4 linked regions of the Pelodiscus sinensis genome follow. The main gene of each other region encodes a partner of the protein of the gene in region 4 in a complex. Links are inferred from orthologs where the notes say so. Each region holds a gene or a part of one and is shown on either strand. Other genes may lie near its edges.

Evidence for each region.
Region 1: the proteins of INTS2 (region 4) and INTS6 are in contact, whole or in part, in a cryo-EM structure (PDB 8RBZ), measured with the Homo sapiens proteins. The link is inferred for Pelodiscus sinensis from reciprocal best matches to the Homo sapiens genes INTS2 and INTS6. Residues at the interface, in NP_065799.2 of Homo sapiens: Ile855, Asp856, Pro857, Leu858, His895, Arg923, Glu925, Leu926, Lys927, Ala929, Leu930, Ala932, Ala933, Gln934, Ser936, Ala937, Gln940, Ile941, Glu944, Asn1010, Lys1013, Leu1014, Phe1017, Gln1018, Gly1019, Tyr1020, Pro1021, Ile1046, Ala1047, Gln1048; in NP_036273.1 of Homo sapiens: Ile484, Val486, Arg487, Ser488, Arg489, Phe527, Gln528, Val529, Ala530, Leu531, Leu532, Asn533, Phe541, Arg542, Asn543, Ala544, Tyr545, Ile547, Arg549, Leu552, Leu553, Leu556, Met559, Arg560, Asn562, Leu563, Leu564, Lys565.
Region 2: INTS2 (region 4) and INTS12 share a complex: the UniProt entries of both Homo sapiens proteins name them as parts of the integrator complex. The link is inferred for Pelodiscus sinensis from reciprocal best matches to the Homo sapiens genes INTS2 and INTS12.
Region 3: INTS2 (region 4) and INTS4 share a complex: the UniProt entries of both Homo sapiens proteins name them as parts of the integrator complex. The link is inferred for Pelodiscus sinensis from reciprocal best matches to the Homo sapiens genes INTS2 and INTS4.

What each region holds. Positions count from the first base shown.
Region 1 is NC_134711.1:291,278,769-291,285,807, forward strand, and holds the start of INTS6 (integrator complex subunit 6), read right to left. Parts: upstream 3,018-7,039; 5' UTR 2,576-3,017; coding exon 2,465-2,575; intron 2,288-2,464; coding exon 2,210-2,287; intron 2,104-2,209; exon of another isoform or gene 2,068-2,103; coding exon of another isoform or gene 1,978-2,067; intron 1,494-1,977; coding exon 1,344-1,493; intron 1-1,343. UniProt on the Homo sapiens protein: Component of the integrator complex, a multiprotein complex that terminates RNA polymerase II (Pol II) transcription in the promoter-proximal region of genes.
Region 2 is NC_134715.1:26,900,092-26,907,444, forward strand, and holds the start of INTS12 (integrator complex subunit 12), read right to left. Parts: upstream 3,009-7,353; 5' UTR 2,876-3,008; intron 1-2,875. UniProt on the Homo sapiens protein: Component of the integrator complex, a multiprotein complex that terminates RNA polymerase II (Pol II) transcription in the promoter-proximal region of genes.
Region 3 is NC_134711.1:316,726,102-316,733,715, reverse strand, and holds the start of INTS4 (integrator complex subunit 4), read right to left. Parts: upstream 3,005-7,614; 5' UTR 2,626-3,004; coding exon 2,572-2,625; intron 1,901-2,571; coding exon 1,703-1,900; intron 1-1,702. UniProt on the Homo sapiens protein: Component of the integrator complex, a multiprotein complex that terminates RNA polymerase II (Pol II) transcription in the promoter-proximal region of genes.
Region 4 is NC_134731.1:6,069,758-6,077,497, forward strand, and holds the start of INTS2 (integrator complex subunit 2), read left to right. Parts: upstream 1-4,736; 5' UTR 4,737-4,835; coding exon 4,836-4,878; exon of another isoform or gene 4,879-4,939; intron 4,940-5,545; exon of another isoform or gene 5,546-5,867; intron 5,868-6,331; coding exon 6,332-6,638; intron 6,639-7,734; coding exon 7,735-7,740. UniProt on the Homo sapiens protein: Component of the integrator complex, a multiprotein complex that terminates RNA polymerase II (Pol II) transcription in the promoter-proximal region of genes.

The sequences.
Region 1 (7,039 bases), on a different chromosome or scaffold from region 4:
AAAGGATGGATTATGGGTTTGGATTTTTTTGAATCTGTGATGGTAAGTTTTCATGAAAACTTTGTAAGGCTGACCTAAGTCAAACAGGAACGAAGGAAAGCAGAAAAACAGGTGAATACATGTGTGTGTATAAGAGGGCCATGCATGGAAACAGACTAAAAAGATTAGCTTTACGTGTGAAATTAGTATATTTCAAAATTTTGTCACCAAGATTGCATTTAAAAACATGTTTAGGGTGACTTGGCAGTGCAACATAGTGAAACATGGGAAATAAGAATTTTCCTCCTACACAAACAGAACATGGCAACACAGATATATGCTCAGTCTCAGAGCATTTGGTTGAAGCAACTTATTTTTTAAACAAACAGCAGCAGCCTTTCTTCCTCTCAGAGGGCATTACATCACAGGAGAAAATAAAAAGGGGAAATGTGAGGCTAATAGGGCAAGTAAGTGCAAAATATACATTTAATATGTGTACCCATTAGCAATGCTCTCCACTACTATGCAAAACTCGAGCTGGATTCATATTCCAAGTCTCTTACTCTTCAGGCCAGGAGCAACTGAGAGTGTTTCCAAATATATATTCAACCCAAGGAAGAATGCAAGTAAGTGCCTTATTGTTTTACAGTGACCCACACTGTTGATTAAATATAATGTTGACATGCTCCAAAAGAAGTCCTGTTCAAATCCTTCTGAGCCAGAAGGATGGCAGCTCCAGTACAAGTTGTCAGCGAAGCCAGAGCTTTTCAGGGCTTTAATATGAGGGAAAGAGATTGAATGATACAGGAATATGCAAAGACAGAAGCAGTGGTCTAATTAATTAATAAACCAATACTTGATTAAACCTCTGTTCCAGTTAACCTAATAGCTAGGTCCCCACAGTGGCTAACAATAAGTGTACTTCAGCGAGAAGCTAAACCCCCAAAGTCCCCCCAACTGATTGGGTACCACCTATGTTACACGTAAGAGAAAATATATTTATGACCACTGCATGCGATTGGGTAATGTGCTGAAATATAAGGTTTCATTATCTTGAACATAATATACCAAAAATGTACACGTGTGAACTGAAAAAAAATGTAAATCAATGCTTGTGTTTGTGTTTTAAAAAACTCAAGAAGTTTTAAACAGATATGAAATAAAAAATGAATTAAAACTGGGTGCAAAACTACATCCTAGTTATGGGTTTCCCAATTGTCTCAGCACTGTTTATTTGTAAAATAGTTTCCGTTATGTTTTACTCTTCATATTTCACAGAGGCTATTATTTTGGTCAACTAATCATGTGTGGTCTCTGAAAGTGTTTTTTAAAAAAGTGTTTACACCTATTCATATTCAACCTACCTGCCCATAGTTGTCTATGCCAGTTACTAATCTATTTAAGTTTAATAAATCAAAAGCTGTCCTTAGAGACTGGCCAAGAGTCGTAAGTCCCTCAGCTTGAAGGTTTTTCAATTCATTCATAAAGGTTGCATGGTTTTCTTTCCAGCCAGCCTGCAAAGAGAAAGGCAAGAATGCTTATCTTTCAGATGATAGCAGTATACATGGAGAGCCTTCTGTTACAGATTACAAAAATGGTTTCTTCCTCTCTTTCATGTATGAAGTTAAAAAATACCCCCACAAACTATCAACTCATCTTAGAGCCTTAACTAAGAACCCCTTCTGTTCTAAAGACTTCATATACCATCTCTCACACACACCCCCCAGCTCGCAGCCGTCCCCCTCGCAGGAGAATATCGGTGCTTGGTTTCACGGTTTGAGGTGCAAAGAGTGAGCCTATAAGTTATAACTTATTGAGGATCACTGAAATAACCAGAGCCTGGTCCACGGCAGCGGCCGGGGCCGGTCAATGACCTACAGCAGGTTCCCTTCTGATGTGTCATGTGGAGGCTCCGGGTCTCCACGCACAACAAGGGCGAAGCGCCCAGCCTAGGCTGCCCGGCCCTAAGCAGGTACCGCTCCTCGCCGCCGAACTCGCCTTAGAGTTGCTGTCACTTCTCCTAACTTGAATCAATATCCCCCACAGTCCATTGCTGCTCGCACACCGCACAGGAAAAATGTCGGCCATGTTGATGTCAGCGCCGCCGCCGCTGCCAGAGCCTGTGTGTGCCTGTGCGGGGCGAGCTGCGCTGCGCCGCGCCGCCGGGAGCGCGGGGGAGGGGAGAGGCGGGCGGACGGCCCGGGGGAGGAGGGCGATTCGCGGGGGTTACCTTGATCGCGTGGGGAGGCTCCTCGAAAGTGACCAGCATGTACCTGTCTCCTCTGCTGGCGGGGTCCCGGGCGCGGAGCTGCGGGCACAAAGCGCAGGGTTACCCGAGGGAGCCAGCAGCAGCGCCCCGCATGCGAGCCCCCGCCCGGCCTCCGCAGGTCCGCACCCCCCAACCCCGGGCAGCAGGGCGACCTCCCCCCCCCCACCTCAACCCACCCCCTCTCTCGCCGCCGCCTCTCGCAGGCAGAGCCGGTACCTTCATAAAAGTCTCTACAGCGCCTTTGGCTATGTCCAGATAGGTGGTGCCCAGATGGGTGCGCTGGTTCATGGAGGCGGACGTGTCTATCAGGAAGAGTAAGATGGGCATAGTGCGAAGCAGCAGCGGGGCCGGCGGCTACATGGACAGGGGCGGGGGTCAGACACGAGGGGGCGGGCGGGCAGTGGGGGCTATGAGTGCGCTGCACGGGGAGAGACGCCTCCCCGCGCCCCGTTCGCCTTTGTGTGAGGACCCTGCACAGGCTGGTTTATAAGGAAAAGGCGGACGGGGGCTGCACTGCTGCTGCTGCCGCCGCCGGCCCCCCTGTTGATGTTACTCAGAAGTTTCAGGCGGAGCAGCCGCGACCCACCCACCCCGACACTTTCTCTCTCTGACTGAGGCGCTTCCTCGCTCGCAGCCCGCTTTTAAGGCAGCCTGGGCAGGTCGGGAGCCGCCCCCTAAAGGCACGTCCACGGGCCACGTGACGGCCTCCCTGCCCCGCCATTGGACTCCCGACGACCCTTCATTAGCATATTTAAATCACGGGGAAAAGGGGAACGAGGCGGATCCAGCCACTGAAGGGAAGGCGGTTGACGAGCACGCGTTCCAGCTGCGCGCATGCGCGTTGCTGCTCCGACCGGGTGGGGGTGCTGCTGCAATGACATAGTCGCCCCCAGCTGCCCCGTTCTGGGAAGGGAGGAAGGGATCCATCGGAAAACGCTGAGGGAGACGGGGTGGGGGAGGGGCGCGGGCGTTGCTAGTGAGGTAATTCGGCCGTCGGACAGGCCTGTGAAGCTGCCCGCGAGGGGGCCGGAGGCCCGGCCGCGGGAGCGGCTACGGGGATGAGGCCCGAGCGGGGCGGCGGGGGTGTAGCGGGAGCCGCTTATCGCTGGGGTGGGGGAGGGGAGCGGGCCCGGGAGGCGGCAGGGCCTGAGGGGACGCGGGGGCGGGCTCCCCCGGCGAGGAGTCTCCTGCGCGCTGGCCTAGCAGCTCGGTCCCTCCGCGAGTGAGTCACGGGGCGGCGCCTGCTGCTGCCTGCGCGCCGCTCCTCTTCCGTAACGCAGGCGCCCGGCGACTCCCTGGGGCTGCGGGCCGGCCTCGCTGGGCTCCGGGCGGTCCCCGGCAGGGGCGGGAACAGGGGGGAGGCGGAACAGGGAGCGGGCGGCGGGCCCTCGGGGGAGCTGCAGTGGGGGCCAGGCCGCCTGCCCGCCCGCCCGCTCGCAGCCCGGGTCTGCAGGGGCTCACGGGAGGCGGGGTGCGTGGCGCTCCACGTCAGGAGGAGAGTGGGTCAAGGGCGGGGGCTTTGCGGGGCGACTCCCCCTCCCCCCCTCTCCGGCGAGGGAGAGGCAATTGCTAGGCGTGGGGCGTTGCAGCTTGTCTTTGGGAGAGAAGCGGAGGGGGATAATCAGGACGGATGCCTTGTGTGAGGACGGCGGGGCCCGTATTTTAGTGGCTGGGGCGCTACTGTCTTTCTCTTCAGCGGGGGAGTCTACGAGTTCGGATGGTCTCACATTGAGACAGCCTTGCATGCCTGGAGTGCTGTGGTTTTGACCTTAAAAGTACTGCACTTTTCTTCTAGTTGGATCCTGGGGAACTGAGGGTACTGCACTCTTCCCCCGCCCCCTTAAAGTAATAGTAACCAAATGCATGGTTTCTGCTTTCAGCACCTCCACTATAAAATAGTTCCAGCTCCCCTACTTGGATCTGAAATGTGACACTAACTTGTCGAATAAAAACAAGACTTCCACCTCACAAATCACTCAAGACCCACTCAAAGAACTTCAAGAACTAGTAAGATTTTGCCTCTCTTTAGTTTAAAGACGTCAAGGTGGCCAAGCCAGGCAATAGGGCCACAAGATCAGAGGCAACAGAAACAAAGTTGTGACACTCCCTTTCACTTGATGGTGAGTTACACTACTGTGCACACCAGAAGATTGATTATTTACAGACCAATGTGTTTCGTTAGGTTTTTAATGTATGAACAATTGTGTGAATATTGCACAAGCAGAAACATCCTAATTATAAATTAGGCACAGATTATGTTTTACAGTTTGTCTGGACCTGGGCTTTCTCTACCCATATGCAAGACACATAACCACAGACATGGAGCACCATGACATTTGAGGTACCAAATTGCCTCATATTTCATGGTGCCTTATGCAAGCTGGCTGCTATGTGTGAGCTCCGGCAGACTCCGTCCCCTATGGGCTGCATCCGGCTCCTACTGACCAGGCAGTAGCAAGCAGTATGGCTACGTCTACACGGGCCCCTTTTCCGAAAGGGGCATGCTAATTTTCAACTTCAGAATAGGGAAATCCGCGGGGGATTTAAATATCCCCCGCGGGATTTAAATAAAGATGTCCGCCGCTTTTTTCCGGCTTGGGGAAAAGCCGGAAAAAAGCGTCTCGACTGGCCCAATCCTCCGGAATAAAGCCCTATTCCGGAGGATCTCTTATTCCTACTTCAAAGTAGGAATAAGAGCCTCCGGAAAAGGGCACTTTTTCCGGAGGATCGGGGCCAGTGTAGACGCTCTTTTCCGGCTTTTTTAAAAGCCGGAAAAAAGCGGCGGACATTTTTATTTAAATGCCGCGGGGGATATTTAAATCCCCCGCGCATTTCCCTACTACGACTCATGAAATTTACATGCCCCTTCCGGAAAAGGGGCCAGTGTAGACGTAGCCCTCTTGTCTGTGCCAGTACGGGCTGTGGCAGGCATGAAGCCTGCCTCAGGGTCCGGCTGGGCTGCTGGCTATCTAAGGTAAGGATCTACTGGCCAGAGCCTACACCTGACTTCACCTACTCCCACTCCTCCAACCTGTCCCAGGTCACAACCAAAACCCTCTGTACCACCACTCCTGCACCAGTGCCCCCTCCAAGACCTGCATCCCAATTTCCTGCCTTAGGTCACAACTCCCTCCTGATCTAGGACACAACTCAAACCTTTGCAACTGTGCCCCAGGTCACAATCTCCTCCTAGACTCTCCAGCCCCCTCCTCCAGGTCAGAATCCTTTCTTGTTCCCATATGCACTCCTGGACTCTACACAAAAATCCCCTGCTCAGCGTAATAATCCCCTCTTTCACCCAACCTTATTAACAGTTAGTCTTCCTCTCAGACCCCACACCCTCTCCTACTCCTTAGTCCCCTATTCCAAGCTCCTTTCTGCAGCCAGCCTCCATCCAAGACCTAGCACCTCCTCCATTAATATACCTATGAATCATTTTCCCTGTTACCTGGCCTCTGACATTAGCCGCTCAGATCCTCTGCTCCAAAGCAACCATGTACCCCAGTTTTCTAGTTTTATCTTAAATCACTATTGCTGTAAAATCACACAGAACTTGTGAGCACTTACATTAAAAGAAAAGTATATTTAAGAGAATATAGAGATTCTATTAGCAACGAGAGTGTGATGGAAACAAATGGATAATACAAAACAAAATTTTAAGACCCGAACCTTGGTCTGCACATATTAATTACCCTTCCTAACTAATAAAATAGGATGTACAAAAAACTCTGCACTCAAAAATAAAACAGTTTAAAACTTCAGGGCTACGTCTAGACTGGCATGATTTTCCGGAAACGTTTTTCCGTTAAAAGCATTTTAGGAAAAGAGCGTCTAGATTGGCACGAACGCTTTTCCGCAAACGAACTTTTTGCGGAAAAGCGTCCGTGCCAATCTAGATGCGCTTTTGCACAATAGAGCCCCGATGGCCATTTTAGCTATAGGGGCTTTTTTGCGCAAAACAGTACTGTGCTGTCTACACTGGCCCTCTTGCGCAAATGATTTGCCCAAACGGGAGCAGCATAGTATTTCCGCAAGAACACTGACAATCTTACATGAGATAGTCAGTGTTCTTGCGGAAATTCAAGCGGCCAGTGTAGACAGCTGGAAAGTTTTTCCGCAAAAGCAGCTGATTTTGCGGAAAAACTGGCCAATCTAGACACAGCCTATATGTTTGATAAAACCACTGTAAAGGACTTGCAAATATGTGAATCCTTGCAGAAAAATATGGCTGGTGAAGAAATATTTTATTGTATTAACTTTATTACAAGAAATGAAATTAGTTGGGAAAAGTGTGTTGATGTGTGTAGTGGCAGCACCAGGGCAATAGTTGGGGACACAGCCAGAGTTGTATCGCGAATTAAGCACCAGCAGTCACTATGTCCTTCACCGACAAGTTCTTGCCATTAGAATATGTTTGTACCTCTTTAAAATGTTCTGGAAAAGACAGTGCAAATTATTATATACAAACTCGACCACTACAATCCAAATTATTCTGAATTCTGTGCAGAGAAGCGGGCAGCACATAGTTTTCCTTCAACATACAGAAGTGAAGTGGCTATCACAAGGGAAAGTGCTTGTTAGACTTTCTGAGTTTCATCACAAAGTATTAGTTTACTTTGTAGAACACAAACGCTGACTGTCTGATTGTCTGACAAATTACTCCTAGCTGCTGTACTTTGCAGATACATTCACCAAGATGAATGAAGTTAATCTGTCGCTGCAAGGAAGATATGTGAACATTTTCACCATAAAAGATAAAATTTTGTCGCTATTGCAGAAACTGGAATTACT
Region 2 (7,353 bases), on a different chromosome or scaffold from region 4:
CCTCTCTATCACAGAAGGCAGCGTGGAGTGCCAGATGGGAGCTGGTCTGCAAGGGGTGTGGAGAAATCCCTGTAATATTATCATTCTCATATAACTTTGTATTAAGATCTTGTCCTTTTAGATATATCTGTAAGTGTTCGTACAGAATCTTTGTAACACTTCTCCTATAACTTTGTATTAAGAGAAACTTTCCTTGTAAGAAAAAAAAATGTCTTTTGAGCTCTCCCCTTTCCTTGATTGTCCTGTTGAAATGAATGAGGTGTGAAGGGAGAATTAAAGGTGAGCACCTCCAGCAGCAGTTGCAAGGGTGGAGAAGGTCTGGGAGCCAGATCCAAGACAATACCTGTAAAGTGAGCTCATTAAGAAGACTGGACAGACAGCTACCTTGGGAGTCAAGCAGCATTGCCCGCCCTTGGAAGAACTCTCTTTGAAGCAGCATTAAGAAAGGCAAGATGATGACTAATTGGCTGCATGAGAGGGATAAATAGGAGGCATCTTGGAGAGGACCCTGGGTTTTCATCTTGTCAACATGGGAGCATCGATCTACAGAAGGCCAGCTCCACCCCTCCTCCATCTAACTCACCTGGCCAGTGCAGTTAGGGGGAGCAACTTTTGGTAACAACAAAATGGAATGTGCTTGTGTGAGAGTGCATGAGTTTAATGTATCATATGCATATGATAAATATTGATTGATCTATGTATGTTCAAGAAATGTGGCGTGTTGCCGTATCCCCCTGAAAAAGATTCTGGGTGCTTCTTTTAAGCACAACAGGGGAGCCAGTTTAAAAAACAGCTACCCCCGATAGACCAGCTGCCTATTGCCTTATGCTACTACCTCTGAGACAGAGGCAGCAAAGGGAGGTGGTGGAAATACTAATAGTCAACTAGATTAACCATTAAGACCAGGTTTATCGACTAGTTGGCTACTAGTTCACATCCCTAGTGCAAAGCACATGTTTGTATTAGATTTCCTTTAAGAAGGGAGCAGTGATCTCAAGTCTATTCATTCCTTGTTTTGAGGATTATTTAAATACTGTAGACAAAATCAAAATATAAATGTCAAAAAGTGATCATAATCTTAAACCACAGATTGTTATATATGAGGAGTAAATTTTACTCAAGTTAGAGGTATTCATTTCCTAGCCAAATGTTTGTTGGTCTAACCCTTCAATCCACTGTGTCTGGATTAGATGTGTGATAGAAATGTAGCCGTGTTAGTCTGGGGTAGTTGAAGCAAAATGCAGGAAAATGTAGCACTTTAAAGACTAACAAGATGGTTTATTAGATGATGAGCTTTCGTGGGCCAGACCCACTTCCTCAGATCAAATAGTGGAAGAAAGTAGTCACAACCATATATACCAAAGGATACAATTAAAAAAAATGAACAAATATGAAAAGGACAAATCACATTGCAGAACAGGAGGGGGATGCGGGGGGGGGGGGGGAGGAAGGAAGGTAAGTGTCTGTGAATTGATGATATTAGAGGTAGGGAGAGTGGGATGTTTGTGAGTTAATGGTATTAGAGGTGATAATTGGGGAAACTATCTTGGTAATGGGTGAGATAGTTCAAATGTTTGTTAAGTCCTTGTTGGAAAGTGTCGAATTTTAACATGAATGACAGTTCAGAGGATTCCCTTTCAAGTGCAGATGTAAAAGGTCTTTGTAGCAGAATGCAGGTGGTTAAGTCATTGAGAGAGTGTCCTTTTTGGTTAAAATGGCAAGAAACTGTTTTCTCTTTGTGATCACTCACAAACATCCCACTCTCCCTACCTCTAATATCATCAATTCACAGACACTTACCTTCCTTCCTCCCCCCCCCCCCCCTGCATCCCCTTCCTGTTCTGCAATGTGATTTGTCCTTTTCATATTTGTTCATTTTTTTAAATTGTATCCTTTGGTATATATGGTTGTGACTACTTTCTTCCACTATTTGATCTGAGGAAGTGGGTCTGGCCCACGAAAGCTCATCATCTAATAAACCATCTTGTTAGTCTTTAAAGTGCTACATTGTCCTGCATTTTGGATTAGATGTGAGCTCCTGAAGGGAGCAACTGTGCTGCTTTCTCTCTGTAGAAAACACTTATCACATGGTGATATGCTACCACACATCAAAAACAACAGACCCACAGCACAACTAATGAGAACCTTCCATTATGAGTTACAATAAGGACTTAAACTCCACACTGTCTGCAAAATACAAGTGTACACATCTGCCTGGCAGAATAGAGGAATTATTGGCTGGAAGAGGGAGGAAGGGAACCGCACTGAAGACTGAAGCAAAATAAAGTGACCATTCACAAGGAGTGGTTACCGGGGGTCAGGGAAAGTGTCACATCACAAGGAGATATTAGAATCATGGAATCCTAGGGCTGGGAGAGACCTCAGGAGGGCATCAAGTCCAGCCCCAGGTCCAAAGCAGGACCAACCTCAACTAAATCAACCCAGCCAGGGATCTGTCCAGCTAGGACTTAAAAGCCTCTGGGGATGGAGATTCCACCACCTCCCTAGGGAACCCATTCCAGTGCTTCACCACCCTCCTAGGGAAATAGTTTTTCCAAATATCCACCCTCGGCCTCCCCCACTGTAACTAGTAAGATCAGTGGTTTCCTAGGAGACTGACAGCACAGCAAGCAGAGGAGAGGGAGATGCTCGCCCAGTGATCAGACCCCCGCGTTGCAACAGCGCGACACTGCGCTCCCCAGCGGGGCCCGGGCAAGCAGCGCGCCCAGCCCCCGCGGCCGGCGCCGGCCTCGCGTGGCCCCGCTGAGGCCGGGCAGGGTGGGGAGCCCGGGGGGCTCACGGGCGGGGGGGACGCGGCTGCAGCCCCGGCCCTGTCCGCGCAGCCCTAGGCCCAGCCCGCCCGCGCGCTCCTTACCCCTCGCCGTTGGCCCGGGCGCCCGGCGGGTGACGCTGCGGCGCAGAGCCCGGCCGAGCCGCAGGAAGCCCCGGAGGCGCCGCGGCGGCAGCGTGCGGAGGAAGAGGCGGAGCCGGGGAGGAAGCGGCGGAGCTGAGGCGGGGGTAAGCGGCGTGGGGGGCCTGTAGGGCCGCGGAGCCGGGCCCGGGGATGCCGGGGCCTGGAGCGGGGCGAAGCCTCCCCGAGACTCGGGGACGGGCGGGCGCTGGGGATGCGCGGTGGCTGGGCACAGGGCCCCCGCGATGAGGCAGCTGCTGGGGAAGCGGGGTGAACTCGGGGCACCCCAGGAACTGGCAGCTGCGGAGGCCGCGAGGTGATCTCCGGGGCACAGAGACCGCAGCGTGGGGCAGGTGCTGAGGTTATGAGGTGCAAGCTTAGGTCAGAGGGGCTGAAGCGTGGGGCAGGTGCTGAGGATGTGGGGTGTACCCCTTGGGCACAGGGGCAGCAGGGCAGGTGCGTTGGATGTGGGGTAAAGACCTTTGTGAGGGACAGTTCCTGAGCTCTCTGTTATTGGGGGGGGGGGAGTCACTCACCTCAGGCCCCTGAGGCATTCCCCCCTCAATTTCTCATTTACTTTCCCATGGGTTTTGCTAGTGTAGGTGTGGGGAGCTATCCTCCACTTTGTGGGAGAATGACGGGCACCCTCTGTATTACACAGCTAATACCACAGCCCCCCACTCTGCAAAGCAGAGACCTTTGTCCATGCTGTGAATGTAACAGCCCCCATCAAGGTATTTCAGCAGAGTTTTAATCCCTGATCTTAAGCACTGCAACACAGATCACCATTATGGGAGATAATGGAGACTCTCCACTACTGGGTAGTCAGTTACCTTCTATTAAACAAGGGGAGGATATATAGAAGATAGGGACACGCTCCTTGCCATAATAGTTAAGTGATCCAGACATGTTCGTAAATAGCATTCAGTGCAGACTTATTAGCAGTGAACAAAGAGGGAAATCACAATTGGTTTATGAACCAAATAAAAGGGTGTCATTTAGATGACAATTGTTTGCAATTACATTTGGAAAAAAGGAAGATCTTTGGGAACATAGGCATCTGCCGTAATGGATCAGACCAGTGGCTTTCTAGTTCAGTTTGCTGTCTCTTAGAGTGGCCAGGGCCCTATGCATTGGAGCAAAAGGCAATAAATCCAAAACAGAATAAATATCCTGCCTATGGGTGTTCTCCAAACCACCATGAGATACTGGTTGTGCCATGATGCATCTATTTCTTATGAACTTTCTAATGTAACTGGATGTTTTCATCCTTATAAAAATTCAGTTATTTTTTTTAAATCCCTGCTAAGATCTTGGTATCAATAGTATCTAGTAGCAAAGAATCTGACTAGTTATACCTTGGGTACTTTTAAAATTGCTGGTTTTCAGATTATTTCAAAAGCTTCAGAGGGGTAGCCAACTTAGTCTGTTTATTTCATTGTTCGCTTGTTTTCTTTTTATCAATAGGATTAGGATGGATTCTCAATGCACCTTTTTTATACCTTTAATCTGTATACCTCTATCTGGTTTCCTTTCTAAAATAAACAGCCCCAATACTTTTAGTCTCGCTTCATGTAAAAAATATTTTCCATTTAGTTGGTCGTTCCTGTGAGTTTTTTCTGAATGAGGGTTCACTGAAAATTTTACATGGAAACTTTTTGATAGCAAGCTGACATAAATGGAATATAAACTAGATATCCTGCATCTGATGCCTTAATACCACAGCTATTATTTTTGCTGTGCTACATATTTATTGGAATAACCATTACATTTATCAGTAACGTGCAGTAACACATGCTACATGAAAAGAAACATTGTCAAATGTCCAGAGTTGTATTTTTCTATAATACAACAAACAAAACCTTTTACAGCAGTAGTCTCCAACCTTTTAAAGCAGTGGTCCCCAACACGGTGCCCGCGGGCGCCATGATGCCTGCGGGGGCATTTGTGTGCGTCTGCCAAATGCTCGGGGCTGGCCTGGCCCTGGGCACGTGGCGCATGCATGGTGCCGGAGCCGGCCCTGAGCGCATGGTGAGCGCCGGCCCTGGGAGCGCTGTGGATTGGCCGCCCGTGCTCTGGGCGCGCAGTGCTGGGGGGGGCGCCAGCCCTGGGCGCACGGCGCTTGGGGGGGGCGCGTGGCGCTTGGGGTGAACGACCATGCCCCCTGGCGCCTGGCAACCTCAAATGGTTGGGGACCACTGTTTTAAAGTATGAGATCACTTTTTGAATTTAAGTGCAATCCTAAATACCTTTGCCCCGCCTCCTTCGTGGCCCTGCCCCTGCTCACCTCACCCTTCCTTCCTCCCCCATCCTTTCGCCTTTTCATCAGGCAGGGGCAGCTGGTCTTGGGCTAAGGGATTTGGAGTGAGAAGGGCTCTGATCCTGGGGCAGGGGTTGGGGTACAGGAAGGGGTTCAGGGTAAGGGTCTGTAAGGGAATTTGGGTCTGGGGATGCTCAGGGCTAGGGCAGGGACTTGGGGTACAGTACAGGGTAAAATACTGGAACAGGGATTCAGAATGCAGGTTCCAGCTGGACACTGCTTACCACAGGTGGCTCCTGGATAATGGTGCAGTGGGGCTAAGGCAGGCTCACCCCTGCACCGTCCCTGCACCACTCTCCAAAGCAGCCAGCAAACTTCCTCCATCCCAAACCTTGTTGTGCCCCCACCCCTGTTCTGTGAAGATAGAATACAGCAGTGGTCCCCAACATTTTGGGGCTGCTGCGTGTCCGGGGGCGGGGCCGCTCACGTTCCATGCACAAGGGGCAGGGCTGTGTATGTGCCGCGCACCAGGGGCCAGCACCAGCATGTGCCACTCACCCGGGGTAGGAGCTGCCCATGCACCAGGCGCCTGGGGCCGGCACCACACATGTGCCATGTGTCTGTGGCAGAGGCTACCCATGCGCCAGGAGCCAGCCCTGGCATGTGCCGTGCGCCCGGAGGCAGGGCCGGCTCAGATTGTTCCGTGGGCACCGCATTGGGGACCACTGGAATACAGGGTGGGTGAGGGGAACAGCTCCAAGGCAAAGGGCAGGAGATGCACAGCAGTGGTGGGAGGGGCAGCTGAAGTGCTGCACTTGATAGCCTCTTGGTCAAACCAGTCAAGATCACCTGTCAGAGGCTCCAAGATCTGATCTTCTAGTTGGTGACACTGTTTTACAGAAACTAAGCACAATAGAAATGTTTTCATTTTTTGTTTGTATTTTTCTGGAAGCATTTGTTTTTAAACAAATAAGTTCTCTGTAGTGTAATCCAAATGTGTAGCATACTGAAACAGACATAATTGATATTGAGCCCATGTTGGAGAAATTTTAAGAAGTAAACAGCACAATTAGTTTAAATGAATTGGATTTTTAACATTCTTTTAGTTCTAACCAGCTAAGCTACCCTTAGTTCCATATTGTAAACAAACACATTTATTTACCTATCTGCTCTTTAAGATGTGCAGTAGAGCTGATGCTGTTAATTGTATTGCAGCAGAGGCACTAGCTACAGACCCTAAGTGAGGCTAAGTTGGCCCCTCTGCTGCCAGTGGCTGTGGGCCCACTCTGGCAGCAGCAGAGGGGCTGGCATTGACCAAGGAATGACGGGGGGCAGGGCACAAGTGCGAAGAGGCAAGGTGGCTGCAGAGCTCTGTGGCTAGGGGCCAGGAGTGCAGCCCTCCGGGAGCACATCAAATTCTGTGGCTAGCAGTCTGGAGGTCAGACTGGTGTCTGTGGGGGTTCTCCCTCCCATTGGGCTGTATTCCTGGACCTGGCTGTAGAGCTCCAGAGCTACCCTGCCTCTTCCCCCGTGTACCTCCTCTCTCCTGCCTCTTCTCCTTGTCCTTCCCTCCCTAAGCTTAAATGCTGCAAATGAGAGGGAGAAGAGCTGCTGAGCTCATGACCCCCAGCTTTTCCCCATAAGTGTTACAATCTGAGAACACCAACAGGGATGCCTGACCACAAATGTTGTTGGATGAGGGAAATCTAGATTATAGAGGTCCAATCTATAGAATAGAGTAAGTGGCAATCTCTGTCCCAAAGATTTTCTCTCTCTGGGTGGGTATGTCTAGACTACATGCCTCTGTCAGCAGAGGCATATAGAATAGGCTACCCGACATAGTCAGTGAAGTAGGGATTTTAATATCGTCGGCACAGCGTGGCAGTCAAGATATGGATCAGTTGACGGGAAGCCTTTGTCAACTGCTCCTGTAAACCTCGTTTCATGAGGCATAAGGGAATGGTTGACAAAGGTTTCCCCTGTCGACCGATCCGCATCTTGACTGCTGCGCTGTGCTGACAATCAGCTAATCCGGCACAGTGCGGCGGCCATTTTCATTTTTATAAAGCTGGGGATATTTAACTCCCCGCTTCATTGACTGTGTCGGGTAGCTTATTTTACATGCCTCTGCCGACAGGCATGTAGTCTAGACATAACAGCTGCGTCTAGATTGGCATGATTT
Region 3 (7,614 bases), on a different chromosome or scaffold from region 4:
CCACCCACCTCCTCTTTGCCAGTACATTTTTTAGCAGGCTGACCAGAAGCCCAACTCAGTCCTTGCTCACGCCAGGTCCAGAACCTATCCCTGCTGTGGCTCTGCATTTAAAGTGTGTTAGGAGCCAGGCGGGCGGGCAGCCTGGCTCAGTTTCGACTTGTGCAGGGTTTGGGAGGTTAGCCCCACCCTCCCCCCCCGACAGCACAGAGTGGCAGGGGTTCCTCGGGAGTGGGGCTAGAGCGCACTGGCTGCCGGCCTCATCCCTGGGAACTATAGAACAGTCTATCAACCAATAAATATTTATGAGGTTAATCGACTTTTCAATGTTCCGATATTTAACAGCCCTAGTCTCGCTCATGCCGGGACCCAGCATCAACCCCTGCTGCAGCTCTGCCTTACGAGTGCTTGTAGTGCAGAACCAAAGCAGGAGTAGTTGCCAGACCCAGCTCAAGCTGGGACTGAGTGGTAACAGTGCTAACCCTTATTGAGTAATCATGTAGTCAACAAAATTATGTCGACTACACAATTAACGAATTACATGCTTAACATCCCTAAGTAGTAGAGTAGTTTTTGAACTAAGAGCTGTGGGCAAGTCAACAGATGCAGAGGAACACACAGTTTAGACAACCATATCACTTAAGGGAGGATTAAAGAGGATACTCCGTGGTTTCCAACCAGTTCTGAAACTAGCCACACTCAACAGGCCAAATAGCCATATGTGGCTAGCGTGTTGGGCACCCTAGCTCTATAGCCTAGTAAGGAGAAGAGAATAGAAGTTGATAAAAGTACAGATAGGAATTGAAGAGTAAGTCAAACAAAAAGGAGTCCCATTCAATTACATAACCTGAAGGCAGACAACTACATATTAACAGATTTTGTAACTGCTTGTATACAAACGCAAGAAGTTCAAATACTAAGATAGGTGAACTTGAGGTTGTCGCTGTAATAAGAAATAAGAATGGCCAGGTTTGGGAATCTCCCTAATATCCTCAGTTGTGAAGATTGAAGCAAAGAATTAATTTAGTTTCTCCGCAATGACCTTATCGTCTTTGAGTGCTCCTTTAGCATCTTGATCGTCCAATGGCCCCATTGGATGTTTAGCAGGCTTCCAGATTCTGATGTATTTTAACATTTTACTATTACTTTTTAGGCTTTGGCTTGCTGTTCTTCAAACTCTTTTTTGGCTTTTTTAAATTATATTTTTACACTTACTTTGACAGAGTGTATGCTCTTTTCTATGTTCCTCACTAGGATTTAACTTCCACTTTTTAAACAATGCCTTTTTATCTCTTGCTGCTTCTTTTACGTGGTTGTTAAGCCACGGTGCACTTTTTAACTTCACTTTTAATAAGCATCATAGAATCAATAATAAGCATGATGAGAATCAATGGGCCACTAGAATTGGGAGAGCTCTGAAGTTCATCACCCTTTTCTACATTTTAGACTCCAAGTGGTTACTTCAAAGCCCTATTTATACAGCTACTTTTAGGGCATTAGTAGGAGACTAACCCAACTCTGTCAATCAGGCTTGGGGAGGTTCACTCCAAAACCCAACATCACTTTAGAACCTTCACATTCTGTTACCAACACTTGAGCATCTCTCCAACAAGAGCCATGTCAGGAAATAGAACTATACAAAAGTCCCACTATTTCTTGCAGCTCTAAGTCCCATGAAAGTTGCTCCTGAGGCTATTTCCCCTACCTTGTAATAATGCTCTAGCAAGATTCTGACAACTCCTTCCACGCTTTCCGCCTCCACTGGTTTCCTGGCAAACTGAAGCAGGTATTGCAGAGCATCTGCCGGCGAAGTAGCCTTACACAGATCGACATGGAGTGCTGCCGACTTACTGGGCTTGGTCAGCCGCAGCTTCTTTGCAGAGATCTCCTCATGCTGCTGCTGCTGGGCAAAGCCACAGAGTGAGGCAAGACCTCAGAACAGAGGGAAGCAGGGGAGCCTGGGCTCCTAGCAACTAGCTCCAGCCTGTGCATGGTTTTACCAGCACAGCCACTACTGGGGGGGGGGGGGGGTAGGCATTCCCTCCATGCCCCTGGGCTCTCTGCCCTCTAACGCCCCCACCCACCCACTTCACAGGGGACCCCTTGGCTCTCTAGCCCCCCCCCCCCGACTTCACGGGGATCTCATGGCTCTCTAGCCCCCCCCCCCCCCCGGGGACCCTGCCCTCACTTGCAGGGAACCTCTTGGGCCCCTAGCCCCCCCAGGGGACCCCGCCCAAATTCACAGGGGACCCCTTGGGCCCCTAGCCCCCCCAGGGGACCCCGCCCCCACTTTGCAGGGGACCCCTTGGGCCCCTAGCCCCCCCCGGGGGGCCCCGCCCCCATTTCGCGGGGGACCCCGGGTTGGCTGGCAGCTTCGCGGCTCCCCGGCGCTCCAGAAGAGGAGCAGCCGCCTGCGGGTCCCGAGGCATTTCAGTGCCAGGCCTCAGGCTTCCAGCGGGTTTTCCTGAAACGTCAGGCCGCCCAGGAGTCGCCTTCCCGGGCAGGGGCCGAGCCCCTCTCCCGGGGACGGGGGTGAGGCTTCCCCAAGCCGCCCTCACGTGCTTCGCGGATTACCTGGACGACCTTAGTGAACTCCTCATACACCCGCTTCTTCAGGTGCGCCGCCATGCCGAGGCCCGCCACCGCCGCCGTTCGCCTTCAGCAGGGCGCGAGCCCTCGCAGCCACCGTACCTTCTTCCTTCTCCTCCCCTCCACCACCGCACCCGGAAATGAAACCATAGAGATGCTGGCGATGATGGGAAGATAAACTGTCCTTGCTAGACAGGCGGAGGTCTCCTCTCTATGGCCAGTGAGTCCCTGGCTAGGGAGAAAGAGGCCTGCGAGGCTGGAGCGCCCGTCGCTGGGCTTCTGTCAATCAAGGGGTGGTGCCCGCAGTGGGAGTGCTCAGCGCTAGGAAAGCCACCTTGCTGGTGGGAGGGTCCCTGATCCCTGTGCTGAAGCGCTGGGCTGGGAACCAGGAGTCACTCCCCAGCAAAGAGCCAGCGTGGCCAGCTGCATGTCCCACACGTGGCCAGCATGTGGTCAGCTGCATGTCCCACACGTGGCCAGCATGTGGTCAGCTGCATGTCCCACACGTGGCCAGCATGTGGTCAGCTGCATGTCCCACACGTGGCCAGGTGTGTTTCACACTCCTGGCCAACCGCAGAAGAGTGAGCCCTGGGAACAACAAAGTGAGCCCTGGGAACAGCAGGGCTGAATCAGCAGGGGCTGGAGGAGCAGTGACCCCCGCTCAGCGAAGGGAATCATACAAGCCGCCCTTCAATTTCTAGACTCTTCGGTGGATCTGTTTTAATAAGTGGCTTCCACGGGCCCCTGGCTGTGGTGCGGATCAGGATCCTATGCTAGGTTCTCAGCTGGGGCAAATCAGCACAGCTCAGGCTCAACATTTTTAATTTCCTGAAAGATTTTTTTTAATTCATTGCGTCTTCTTTTGCCCCACGCAAATCGATTTCTGTATCTACATGTTTAATGTACAGGATGTTGCATATCTGTCAGTAACAAATGTACTCCCGTGATAATCCGAATTGTTATTTCCTCCCAGGCACGTAGAGCGAGGTCATTTCCTCAGGCTGTTGCCTGAGAGGAATGACAACACAGAGTCATAGATTCCCGAAAGGCCCATTGTGAACATCTAGTCTGACCTCAAGCCCATATGCAAGGATTTTTGTGGAGGGATGCTTCTTATGTAAATGTGGACCACGATTTTTTTTTAATGTAAAGGAGTTCAGAATAGTTATGCAATGAGTGTGCACAAAAGAGGTTAATGATAAATTTGAGTGGAAACAGTGATTGGTAAAATGATTTTGTTATACTAAAAAATTATACAGCAATAAAGGCTTTACAGAAATTACCTTCTGGGATCATGGCGGGCAGTCTGGCCACCATGGCCCCCTGCTCCCTTGGCCACCACTGCCTGCTGCTGCTCTACCTGTTTGTTGAGGCCAGGGTTAGGTTGAGAGCAGGTGAGGCATCCGGCCAGCAGGGCCAGGCTCAGGCTGCTCCTTGCAGGTGGGGGGGGCGCTATTCCCCCAGCCCTATTGCACTACCACCAGCTTTGCCTACCCACCCCCCAACACAGCACTCTCCCATCCACTTAACACAGTGGTTCTCAAACTTTTTGGCCTGTGGACCACCTGGTTCAATGCAAACCTTTCCATGAATCATCAGTTGCTAATGGAAACTCACTGTTAATTACATAATTACACCCAAGCCATTTTGCTAGTGCTGCAGGACCAGGGTAGGGGGCGGGTGTCTGGCCAGGGGGAGGGTGCAGGAGCAAGGGAGGATGCAGGAGCAGGCTTGGGGGTAGGGTGTCTGGCCATGAGGGAGGGTGCAGGAGCAGGGGGTGGTGGTGGTGTGTGAGGGGGCTGGGCATGAAGGGGTGGGGGGGCACTTATTTGCCTTTCTGCCCCATACTAATCCCAGGCACTGCCTCCCGCTGCTCTCATTGGCTGGATTCTGTTGGAGCACCAGCTCCAGCTTCCCAGTGAGGGGGTGGGAGAGAGAAAGACCTGAGCCGCACTACGTGATCCAGCTTGTGGGAAAGGAGCACTTCTCTTCCCCTTTCCCTTCCCACAGCTGTGGGAACAGCAGCAAGCCTGCGCACTGCTGTTCCCCCAGCCAGGAGAGGGGAAGGGGGAGCCCTTTTTCCCTGCAAGTCAGATCATGTAGTGAGGCTCTGGGGTTTCTCCCCTCCCCACCAGTAGGAAGCTAATGCTAGTGCACCAACCGCATGGGGGGATGTGGGAGGGTGAGGCTACTGTGCCCGTGTGGGCTCCCCACTGCACTAGTAGGAGGGGAGCTGAGATCGAGCTGCAGACCACCAGGAAGGCGGCTGAGGAGCCCCCTCATGCTGACTTGGGTGGTCAGGGAGGTGCATTTGCACCTTCGCATCTCTCCCTGTGTGCATGCCTAGACCTCCTATACAACACAGAGTATAGGACTCCCCATAATTCCTGTTTGAACAAGAGCAGATTTTTTAGAATAACATTCTATTTTGATTTTAAATTGCCCATCCTGGAGGATCCACCACAACCTTTGACAAATTATTCCAATAGATTATGTTCACAGTTAAAAATGTATGACTTTCTTTGTCTGTGGGAAGAGTACCTCAGTTCAGTGATACAGACGGGAAATTCATTCCTGTTATTATTCTCAGTAACATGTTTTAATAAATACCTCTGTAATCCACAGACCTAGGGTGGTTCACTGTCCCACGTAGTGGCACTTAGACAAGGGAGCTCTACAGCCTAAGCTGAGAGCCAGCTGGCTTTATATTTCAAGCTGTAGAGGCTCCTACACTCAGGGGCTACGTCTACATTGGCCCCTATTATGGAATAGGCATGCAAATGTAGCACTTTGGAAAAGGCAAATCCGCAGGGGATTTAAATATCCCCCGCGGCATTTGCATTTTCATGGCCGCCGCTTTTTTCCGGCTTGGAGATAAGCCAGAGAAAAGCATCCAGATTGGCGCGATCCACCGGAATAAAGCCCTATTCCGGAGGATCTCTTATTCCTACTTGCAAGGGCTTTATTCCGGAGGATCGCGCCAGTCTGGACGCTTTTCTCCGGCTTATCTCCAAGCCGGAAAAAAGCGGCGGCCATGAAAATGCAAATGCCGCGGGGGATATTTAAATCCCCCGTGGATTTGCCTTTTCCAAAGTGCTACATTTGCATGCCTATTCCGTAATACGCAGTCAGTGTAGACACAGCCAGGCTGTGTCTACACTAGCGCAATGTTGCGCAAAAACTTGCTGCCTGTCTACACTGTCCGCGTGTTCTTGCTCAAGTAAACTGACGTTCTAACGTATGAAATCAGGGCTTCTTGTGCCAGAGTTCTGACGCTCCCCCTCAGGAATAAGCCCTTTTGCGCAACTGTTATTGCGCAAGAGGCCAGTGTAGACAGGCAACATGAATTTCTTGTGCAAGAAAGCCCTGTGGTTAAAATGGCCATCAGAGCTTTCTTGCGCAAGAGAGTGTCTACACTGGCATGGATGCTCTTGCGCAAAAGCACATGCTAGTGTAGATGCTCTCTTCTGGAAGAGTTTTTGCACAAGAACTCTTCCGCAAAAGAGTTCTTGCACAAGAAGCTGCCAGTGTAGACATAGCCTAAGTGATCCCAGGTTCAAATTTGCCTGATGGTGGTTACACCTCCACATGTGCTCTGAAAGTAGCCAGAAGGAGCCCTTAAAAATGTTAGCTTCTATATAAAAGACTGTTTTGCTTCATGCCAAGACTAGTTTCACTGATTTCTTTACAAGTATATAATATGCTTTTCAAATTCTAGGATACCAGTCTAGGAAACTTACTATTATACTGTGACAAGAGAATTTTTATCTTTAATTGTGTTTCATAAGTATTTGATATAGATTAGGTAAATAAAGGTGAAACATATTTGTTTGCTGTGTCCTGGTCTTGCCCATCTGTCAAGGTTCATGCAATACTTAGACATGCTTGATAAAATATTTATCTACCTGGTGTTTACCCCCTTTTTAATGGAAAGATTTGAAGTTATATAAGTTATATAATAGTGACCCAAATGTTTCAGAAAAATTCTATTGTGGTGTAACATGTGGCATGAAATACTTCATGGGGATGTGTTTGGTTTTGCTGAAGTTAGGAAGAGGTGGAAAAATCAAACAAGTTGGAAGCTGTCTTTAAAGTTAACTATAGCCTTTGTGAACTAAAATGTAATCAAGATTTCATGTCCCGTGTCTCCAAAAGAAATAGGGGTCAGAGACTAGTTCTGCATTTGGGTATGGATTCTGACCCAACAAAGTTTGGTGATGTTCAGAGCTGATTCAAGCACATCTCTCTTTTTGAAGACCTTAGATTCCTATGCTACACACAAATACAGACTATATCAGGCCAAAGTAATTCCTGTGTAAACCCACTGAAATCAGTACAGTTGCATCAGCATTATGAGATTTTGGCCTATCATATCTAGAAATAAAAACATTTTTCAGGGAAGAAAGTTAACTGGAGATGTTAGATATCACGTAATTGAACAGTCATGTAACCACATGAAATCTTAGTGGTTACACAACTATTTGATAGTCCCTGGAGAGGAGGCACGCAGCCAGTGCGCTACAACTCCACTCCCAGCAAATCCCGTCACCCCACATGCTGCCCCAGATACAGCTTTTAAAAGCCAAGCTCCCTGCGCAGACCGGCTCCCACCTGCCACCCCTGTCAGTGGAGGGTCGCAGCTCTCCACAGACAAAGATTGTTCCATGGCAGCAGCCCCTGTCCATGGGGGTCCAAGTTCCCTGCAGACAGAGGCTGCTCCACAACAGCAGCCCCTGTCCACAGAGCTTGGACCCTCCACAAACGGGCTGCCACTTTGGAGCAGCCTCTGGTCCGTGGCAGGCCCACAGACAGAGGCTACTCCGTGGCAGCCTCCCCTGTCCCCTGTTGCAGAGGCAGCAGCATAGGGGAGGGAGGGCAGGTGCCGCCACAGACCTGGTGCTGGGGGGAACTGTTTTTTAAGCGAGCTCTCCCCAGCACCGGCTCCTTGTTGGAGGCAGCAAGGAAAAGCGGGCAGGTCCACAGAGCTGGCATGCACAAAGAGCCACTTAAAAGCCAGCTCCCCGTGCA
Region 4 (7,740 bases):
ACAGAGCTTGCATCCAATTTTTTTTAGCTCAGTGTTGCCAGATGGCTGATTTCAAAATCGGTCTTAATGTTAACACACCTGTTTAGCTTGGAACTTGTTGGAAGTGATCTGTTTAAAATCTGAAAGTGACTTGTGTTCATAAGTGAGCCAGCTGCCTGACTGCTGAGGTCCAGTTCTTAATGTATAATTAAATGAATGTGCTCTGACATTCCCCACCTGTATAGAAAAACTGTGGGTAGAAGAAGCTTTTCAAATGTAGTCAGTAATATAAACAGAGAAAATAACCAGTAAAAAAAAATCAGAAGGCCCCTTTTTGAAACTTTTTTTAGAATCATTTGTCCTGAGAGACTGTCTTCTTGGTGGCATCCATTGCCAGCAATGTACATATCAAAACTGCCAGCACCAAGGAGCTAATTACCATATTTAGCTTACTTCTAAATAAGTAACTTCCATCTTATGAATCAAATTCCTTTAATGATTAACCCTTCCACTTGACTACTTTCTAACAGTTATATTGTCACAGCCAGTTAACAGCAGATTTGAACAGAAGGTGCAAGCTTAATAACAGAGTTTATACAGATCATTGACAGTTTGGGTGGCAACATCTCAAAATGCTTGTTCCTAGTGTTGGTCTGTGCAGCTCTCAGTTTAGTAGCATTTTGTGGAAGTTCACCTATTAAGTATTTTGGGATTTCAAATTATAATTATATACATGCCAGTCAAAAAAAAAATCTAGCCATACTTTCTTTATGCAAGCCGTTGTCATCTGGACTTAACACGGTATGAATTAGATTCATGTACATATTGTTTGGCCAGTAGGCCGCCAAGTGTACTTGCATAAAATCCTTGCCTTTTAAAGTAGCTTGTACATTTTAAAACTTTCTAACATTTTCTGAAATGGCTAAAATTAAAGTTATCATTAAAATCTTCAGCTATATTCTTACTCAGCTGTCAATATGGCACAGATTATTACTATATTCTTTTAATCTTTATTTATCTTCCATGGTGACTTAACTTCATGTGTTGCTACAAAGATTTGCAGATGTCTTTAATCAAGCACTATTTGTTAATACTGTACTATCAATATTATGTTGCATTATTTAAAAACATTCAAATTTAATAGATGAAAAAGTTTTAAATGCTATTGCACCATTTAATTTGCTGCACAACAGTCTATGGCATAGCATATCAGTCTGTTAATATTATCCATGTAATTGTACATGAAACAATATTTTGGCCTGGGTTTCCTCTAAGAACTCAGTTTCTCAAAGTTAAATTATATGACAAACTATCTTGACAGAAATTCTAAAGTGAAAAATTAATTACTTTCATCTTAATTGAAAGATATAGATCTATGTCTGATATTTAGAAAATCTTATATGTGGGTGTACTTTATTTTCAATTGAGTGAAACTTCATTTACAGTAAAACTGGATTTGGGACCTACAATAATCCTCAGGGTCACTTTTTCAGGAAGTTTTAATATAGCTTTAGGTTTTCCAAATAAACTGGATTTGAGGACCTTGAAAAGCTATTGGATTTAAATTGCAAATTGTGGCATCATTACTGGACATGTCAATTTCATAAATCTTCTCAAAATAGCTGGGTCACTTTAAGGGAAGTTTTTAAGGTTTTGCTCAGCAGTGACGTTTAATGGTCCAAGTCGTCTTATTTAATATGACATAAAATCAAATAAGGAACAAACACTATTGCTGCCGAATGCCATAAACACTGAGTTGTACAAATTGTGATTGAGGAAATGAAAAAAGTTTATACTTTTAAAAAAAAAAATTCAAATGGAATAAATTATTCATGAAGCCTTGATTGTGGCGTCTCTCTTTATTTCCAACACTCAACTGTACGATCCTCTCTCAGTGTTCCCTCCAACCTTTTCCACTCATGTACAGGATTTTTCCCATTAATATATAGAATACATTTTTTATGTGCACCAAGATGTATCTGTGAATTGCTACTAGAAACACATGGGCTACGTCTAGACTGTGTGATTTTCCGCAAATGCTTTTAACGGAAAAGTTTTTCCGTTAAAAGCATTTGCGGAAAAGAGCGTCTAGATTGGCACGGACACTTTTCCACAAAATCTAGACACGGTTTTGCACAAGAAAGCCCCGATCGCCATTTTCGTCATCAGGGCTTTTTTGCACAAAACAGTTTTTAGCTGTCTACACTGGCCCTCTTGTGCAAAAACATTTCCGGAAAAGGGCTTTTGCCCGAATGGGAACGTCGAAGCATTTGCGCAAGAAGCACTGATTTCGGACCATAGAACTTCAGTGCTTTTGTGCAAAATCAAGCGGCCAGCGTAGACAGCTGGCAAGTTTTTGCACAAAAGCCACCGTTTTTGCAGAAAAACTTGCCAGTCTAGATGCAGCCAAACTGTACTCTAATGAGCTGAGTGGCATTTCAATCTCTCCTGAGTTGCCACATGTGTATCTAGCTTATAGGGAACACTGCTCTCTCTACAACAGGAAGGAGTTGTAGCTTATTGAAGATGACTAAAATAAAAGCATTTTTGCAATGTAGCATAGACACAAAATACACAAAAACCTCAGGGTTAGGACCTTCAGAATTACAAACTAACCCATCAACCACACCCCTTGTTTGGAACCAGAGATATGCAATCAGGTAGCAGCAGATACTCCCCTCTCCCCGCCTCTTCCTCCCCCCCCCCCCCCCCCCCCCCCCCCGCTGGTTAAATATAAATTACTAGAAAACTACTGGGAAATAATTTTTTAAAACTTGATAAGGAAGCTGTTTCTATGCTTTTCGTTTAAAGTAAAAGTTAGAAAAATGTAGCTTTTTTGCATAGTAAAGATTGAAAACTGTATTAACAAAACCAAGGAATGCTGTGATATCCAAAGATTAACAGATTTCTTTGGGCACAAGCTTTTGTGGGCAAAACCCCATTTCATTAGCTGCACTCCAACAAGCTTTCTTGGGCAAAGACCCATCTTTATGCCTAAAGAAATATTGGTCTTCACAGGCTTCCTTGTTGTGTTTGTGGATGCAGATTAAGAGGGCTACCCCTCTAAAGGGCTGCGTCTAAACTGTCTACACTGGCCGCTTGATTTTGCGCAAAAGCACTGATGTTCTACTGTCCGAAATCAGTGCTGCTTCCGCAAATGCTTCAACGTTCCCATTCGGGCAAAAACCCTTTTCCGGAAATGTTTTTGCACAAGAGGGCCAGTGTAGACAGCTAAAAACTGTTTTGTGCAAAAAAGCCCCGATGATGAAAATGGTGATCGGGGCTTTCTTGTGCAAAACCGCGTCTAGATTGGCATGGACACTTTTCCGCAAAAAATGCTTTTGCGGAAAAGCGTCCATGCCAGTCTAGACACTCTTTTCCGCAAATGCTTTTAATGGAAAACTTTTCAGTTAAAAGCATTTGTGGAAAATCATTCCAGTCTAGACATAGCCAAGCTGTATAAAGTGAATGATCTATGGTAAGCTTTTAGGATACTTATAACCTTCCTGCACCCGTACCTGAGCTGTCATTGTGCACTTCTAACACTAGTCTCCCAAAGCTTTTAACGACTGGGTTTTTACATCATAAGCTTAGAATTGGACACTTCCAACCCACTTGATTAGCCTAATTAGCACCAGTCCTACAATTTACAGGTGGTGTTTTTTTCTGCTACATCTTAGTTACTAGCTGGATTTTATCCATGCTTCTCTCTCTATATTTAAAAAAAAAAAAAAAAAAAGTTATAAAGTCTCAGGGATTTGCATGTTAGTCTGTATTTTTTTTTAAACGAGTAGTCCTGTGCTACCTTACAACCAAAACTGTATCGATACTGTGTGTATACACATATATAAATGAAAGCTCATGCTTCTCTCCACATGTATTTTGGTTAGTTTCCAAGCCCCTGGCTACATTCGGGAGTTATTTGGAAATAAGCGGTGTCTCCGTCTTACCAACCCTATTCTCTCAATCTCTACTCCTGCTGCTTTTGGCTGTAACCGGACCGACTTTAAGGCTATTTAAAAAAAAAAAGTCGCTGTTGTTTAGCCTGCCGTGGCCTTCTCCCGACACTAAATAACAGATGCAGTGGGATTGTTTTTCGGCAGCAGCAAACCTCATTTTAGGAAGAACGAAGCCTTTTTTTTTTTTGGTGTTGAAAAGGCCTTGAATGCAACCAGGGCTTTTTGGAACGAGCATCCAGCTGGCCCAGGCGCGCTCCCGCGAGAGCGGCTCTTGCCTGGCTGGGCGCGCTCTTTCGAAAGAAGCGCTCTGAGAAGACGCGTCCTGTGGGCTCTCAGCCGCAGTTGAAGTCGTTACTCCCGGCGCTGCTAGTTCGAATGGGGGGGGAGGGGTTCGCGTAGACAGGCCTGAAGGGGCCAGCGGCCCACTCGCGCTTTCTGACCGTTACAAGACGAAGCGCCCCCTCCCCCCCCGCTGAATATGATCCGTAGCTTGGGGGGAGGGGGCGGCACAAGGTTCCAGCGGGCGGGGGAGGGGCGGGGAGGCCCACAGCGGCCGGGTCCCTGGCTCCGCGGCACGTCACTCTCGGCCCCAGGGGCCGCCTGAGGCCGGCTCACGCCTGGCTCGTCCCGAAACGTCACCGCGCCGCCGTTGACGCTATTCCGAACGTCAGACGCTATTCTCCTTTTCGCCCCCCCCCCTCTGAGGCGGAAGGCCGCCAACGCCTTCTGCTGACGTCAACCACGGCTTCCCTCCCCCGCGCAAGCAGCTCCACCCGAGCGACGGCCGTTCCTGACGTCACGTCCGGTTGGCCTGTCGGTTGTCCCGCCCATTGCTCCTCCCACGCCCGAACGTTCCTAGAAGCCTTTGACGGCGTCATCAGGGGGCTGACGGGTGTGATGTCATCAATAGGGGACGGGTGCCTGCTGCCCCGGCCGCAAGGTAGCGGCGGCGTGGGCGGGGCGGAGCCGCTGCCGGTCTCGGGGGGAGGGACGGGTCCCAGGTTAGTGAGAGTCCTGGATCCTCTGCCCCGACTCTCCCTGGAAGCCTCGGATCCCTGGGTCCTGAGTGGGGGGGGGTCGTTAGAGCCCCCCCTCGAGGGGCTGCACCCCGGGTCCTGAGTGGGGGGGGTTGTTAGAGCCCCCCCTCGAGGGGCTGCACCCCGGGTCCTGAGTGGGGGGGGTCGTTAGAGCCCCCCCTCGAGGGGCTGCACCCCGGGTCCTGAGTGGGGGGGTTGTTAGAGCCCCCCTCGAGGGGCTGCACCCCGGGTCCTGAGTGGGGGGGGTCGTTAGAGCCCCCCTCGAGGGGCTGCACCCCGGGTCCTGAGTGGGGGGGGGGGTCGTTAGAGCCCCCCTCGAGGGGCTGCACCCCGGGTCCTGAGTGGGGGGGGTCGTTAGAGCCCCCCTCGAGGGGCTGCACCCCGGGTCCTGAGTGGGGGGGGTCGTTAGAGCCCCCCTCGAGGGGCTGCACCCCGGGTCCTGAGTGGGGGGGGGTTGTTAGAGCCCCCCTCGAGGGGCTGCACCCCGGGTCCTGAGTGGGGGGGGTTGTTAGAGCCCCCCTCGAGTGGCTGCACCCCGGGTCCTGAGTGGGGGAGGGGTTGTTAGAGCCCCCCTCGAGGGGCTGCACCCCGGGTCCTGAGTGGGGGAGGGGTTGTTAGAGCCCTCCATGGTGCCAGATGCTGGGGTCCTGGGGGAACTGAGGCTGTCAGAGCTTTTCTCTCTCTCTCCCCGCCTGGCCCCAGGACCTACTGCCTGGGTCCTGTTTCAGTCTGGAAGGAGGACGGTTCAAAACTGGGTGCCTGGGTTCTGCTTTCAGTGCAGGGCCACGAGCAGATCAACCCCTGCAACACGGTCCTGGCCCTGTTCTTGTCTCGTGTACCTTCCCCTTTCACAACCCTGGCACCACCATCCTTTGCTCTTTTTGGCTCTGAGGTGAGGAGGCGGAGTAGGCCGTTGGTGGGAGCTGTAATAGAAGTGGCGGACATGAATGCAGTTATAATAAATCATTGCTTTGGATCCCAAGGGTTTCTTGGCTGTGTTGGAGATGTGTCCCTTTCTGGACACCTGGTGTCCCAGTATCTCAAAGCATCTTGGAGATGCTCACAACCTTAACTTCTTATGAGCACTTAGTGACAGTTGAAAATAGCACCTGGAAGTCCTGGTTACTAGACCTTCCTCCCCTCCCAGAGCTGCAAATAGAAAGTAGGAGTCCTGATGCAGTCTCCCTCTTTAATGGGAGGCATGACCCAGATGTCTCAGATAGGAGCAGAACTGGTAATCCTGACTCCTAGTCTTGTGTTTTAATTGCTAGACCACATTTACCAGCTTAGAGCTGTCAAAAGCTGTGATGCAATCTGTCTCTTCTGATGATAATTGTGTTTTTATTTTGTCTTTAGGACAGGTGGTAAAAATGGCAGAGTGTTCTGGCCTTCAGTTTGTCAGCCCCTACGCATTTGAAGCAATGCAGAAGGTGGATGTTGTGCGCTTGGCAGCACTAAGTGACCCAGAGTTAAGGCTTTTGTTGCCTTGCCTGGTGCGAATGGCCCTTTGTGCCCCAGCTGATCAGAGCCAAAGCTGGGCTCAGGATAAAAAACTTATCCTTCGACTCCTTTCAGGAGTGGAAGCTGTCAACTCAATTGTTGCCTTGTTGTCTGTGGATTTTCATGCCTTGGAGCAGGATGCAAACAAAGAGCAACAGCTTAGGTAGCTAAAACCCATTTTTAATATGATTTAGAAATGTGTATGTATGAATATTTCATCTGAATGTTGCCATCTTCTTCCAGAATGTAATAACAGTAGTGAATCCTGTTGGCCTGGTTACTTGGCATTTTGCTACATTATTGTTTCACATCCCATGCGTGTTTCTTGTATCTTGGGCTTGATAGGACAGCATGCAGGGAAGGATATGGAATTTATTGCTTTTTTTCAGTGACTCAGTGCCCTTCCTCCACCACCATAGCTATGCAAGGGGGCACTGATGCTCTTCAAAGGAAGTGCTATCTAGTCACATTTTACCAGAAGGATTAACCCTTGGAACTATAAGGATGCACTAGTCTTTGGCTGTGGTCTGTGTATTGTATGGGAATGGAGCAGGGATTCTCAAACTGGGAGTCATGACATGGAGGGATCAGGAGCAGTGTTCCCTGTAAGCTGAGTGCTTGGGCGGCCACCAAAGAGAGATTCAAATGCTGCCCACAGCCAGCAGCTTGTGTTTCTACTGGTGGCATACATCAACACATGCCTCCATGCACATAACATTTATTCTGTGCTTGGAGGGGAAAAAACTAGAGGGAACATTGTATAGGAGGTTATTAAATGAGGGGGTCACAAGCTCTCAGTCTCTACCCCAAACACAGCTTCAACCTCCAGCAGTTATAATAGTGCTAAATATAAAAAGAAACCTTTTTAATTTATAAAGGCTGTCCCACTCAGACACTTGCTGTGTGAAAGGGGACACCAATATAAATGTTTGATAATAATGGGATAGAGACACCTATTTGAGTGTGCATAAGCTTTTGTCATGTGTTTTTTTTTTTTTTTTTTTTTTTTTTTTTTTTTTTTTTGCTATTTGAAAATATCAAAATCATGATAGTTTTCTGCGGCCACTAGTAAAGTTATCAAGAAAGTTTCGTAGAACCAGCAAAACAAGTGTAGATTGCTGTTCTTGCTTTAATATTTAAAGTGCTCAGATACTACGGTGACGAGCATGGTATAAGAACAGACTAACAAGAAATGCTACTAATTTCTGTGCCTTATTTTTCTTTAAACATCTGTTTTTGCCTTGTAATGTATTTGTTAGACACAA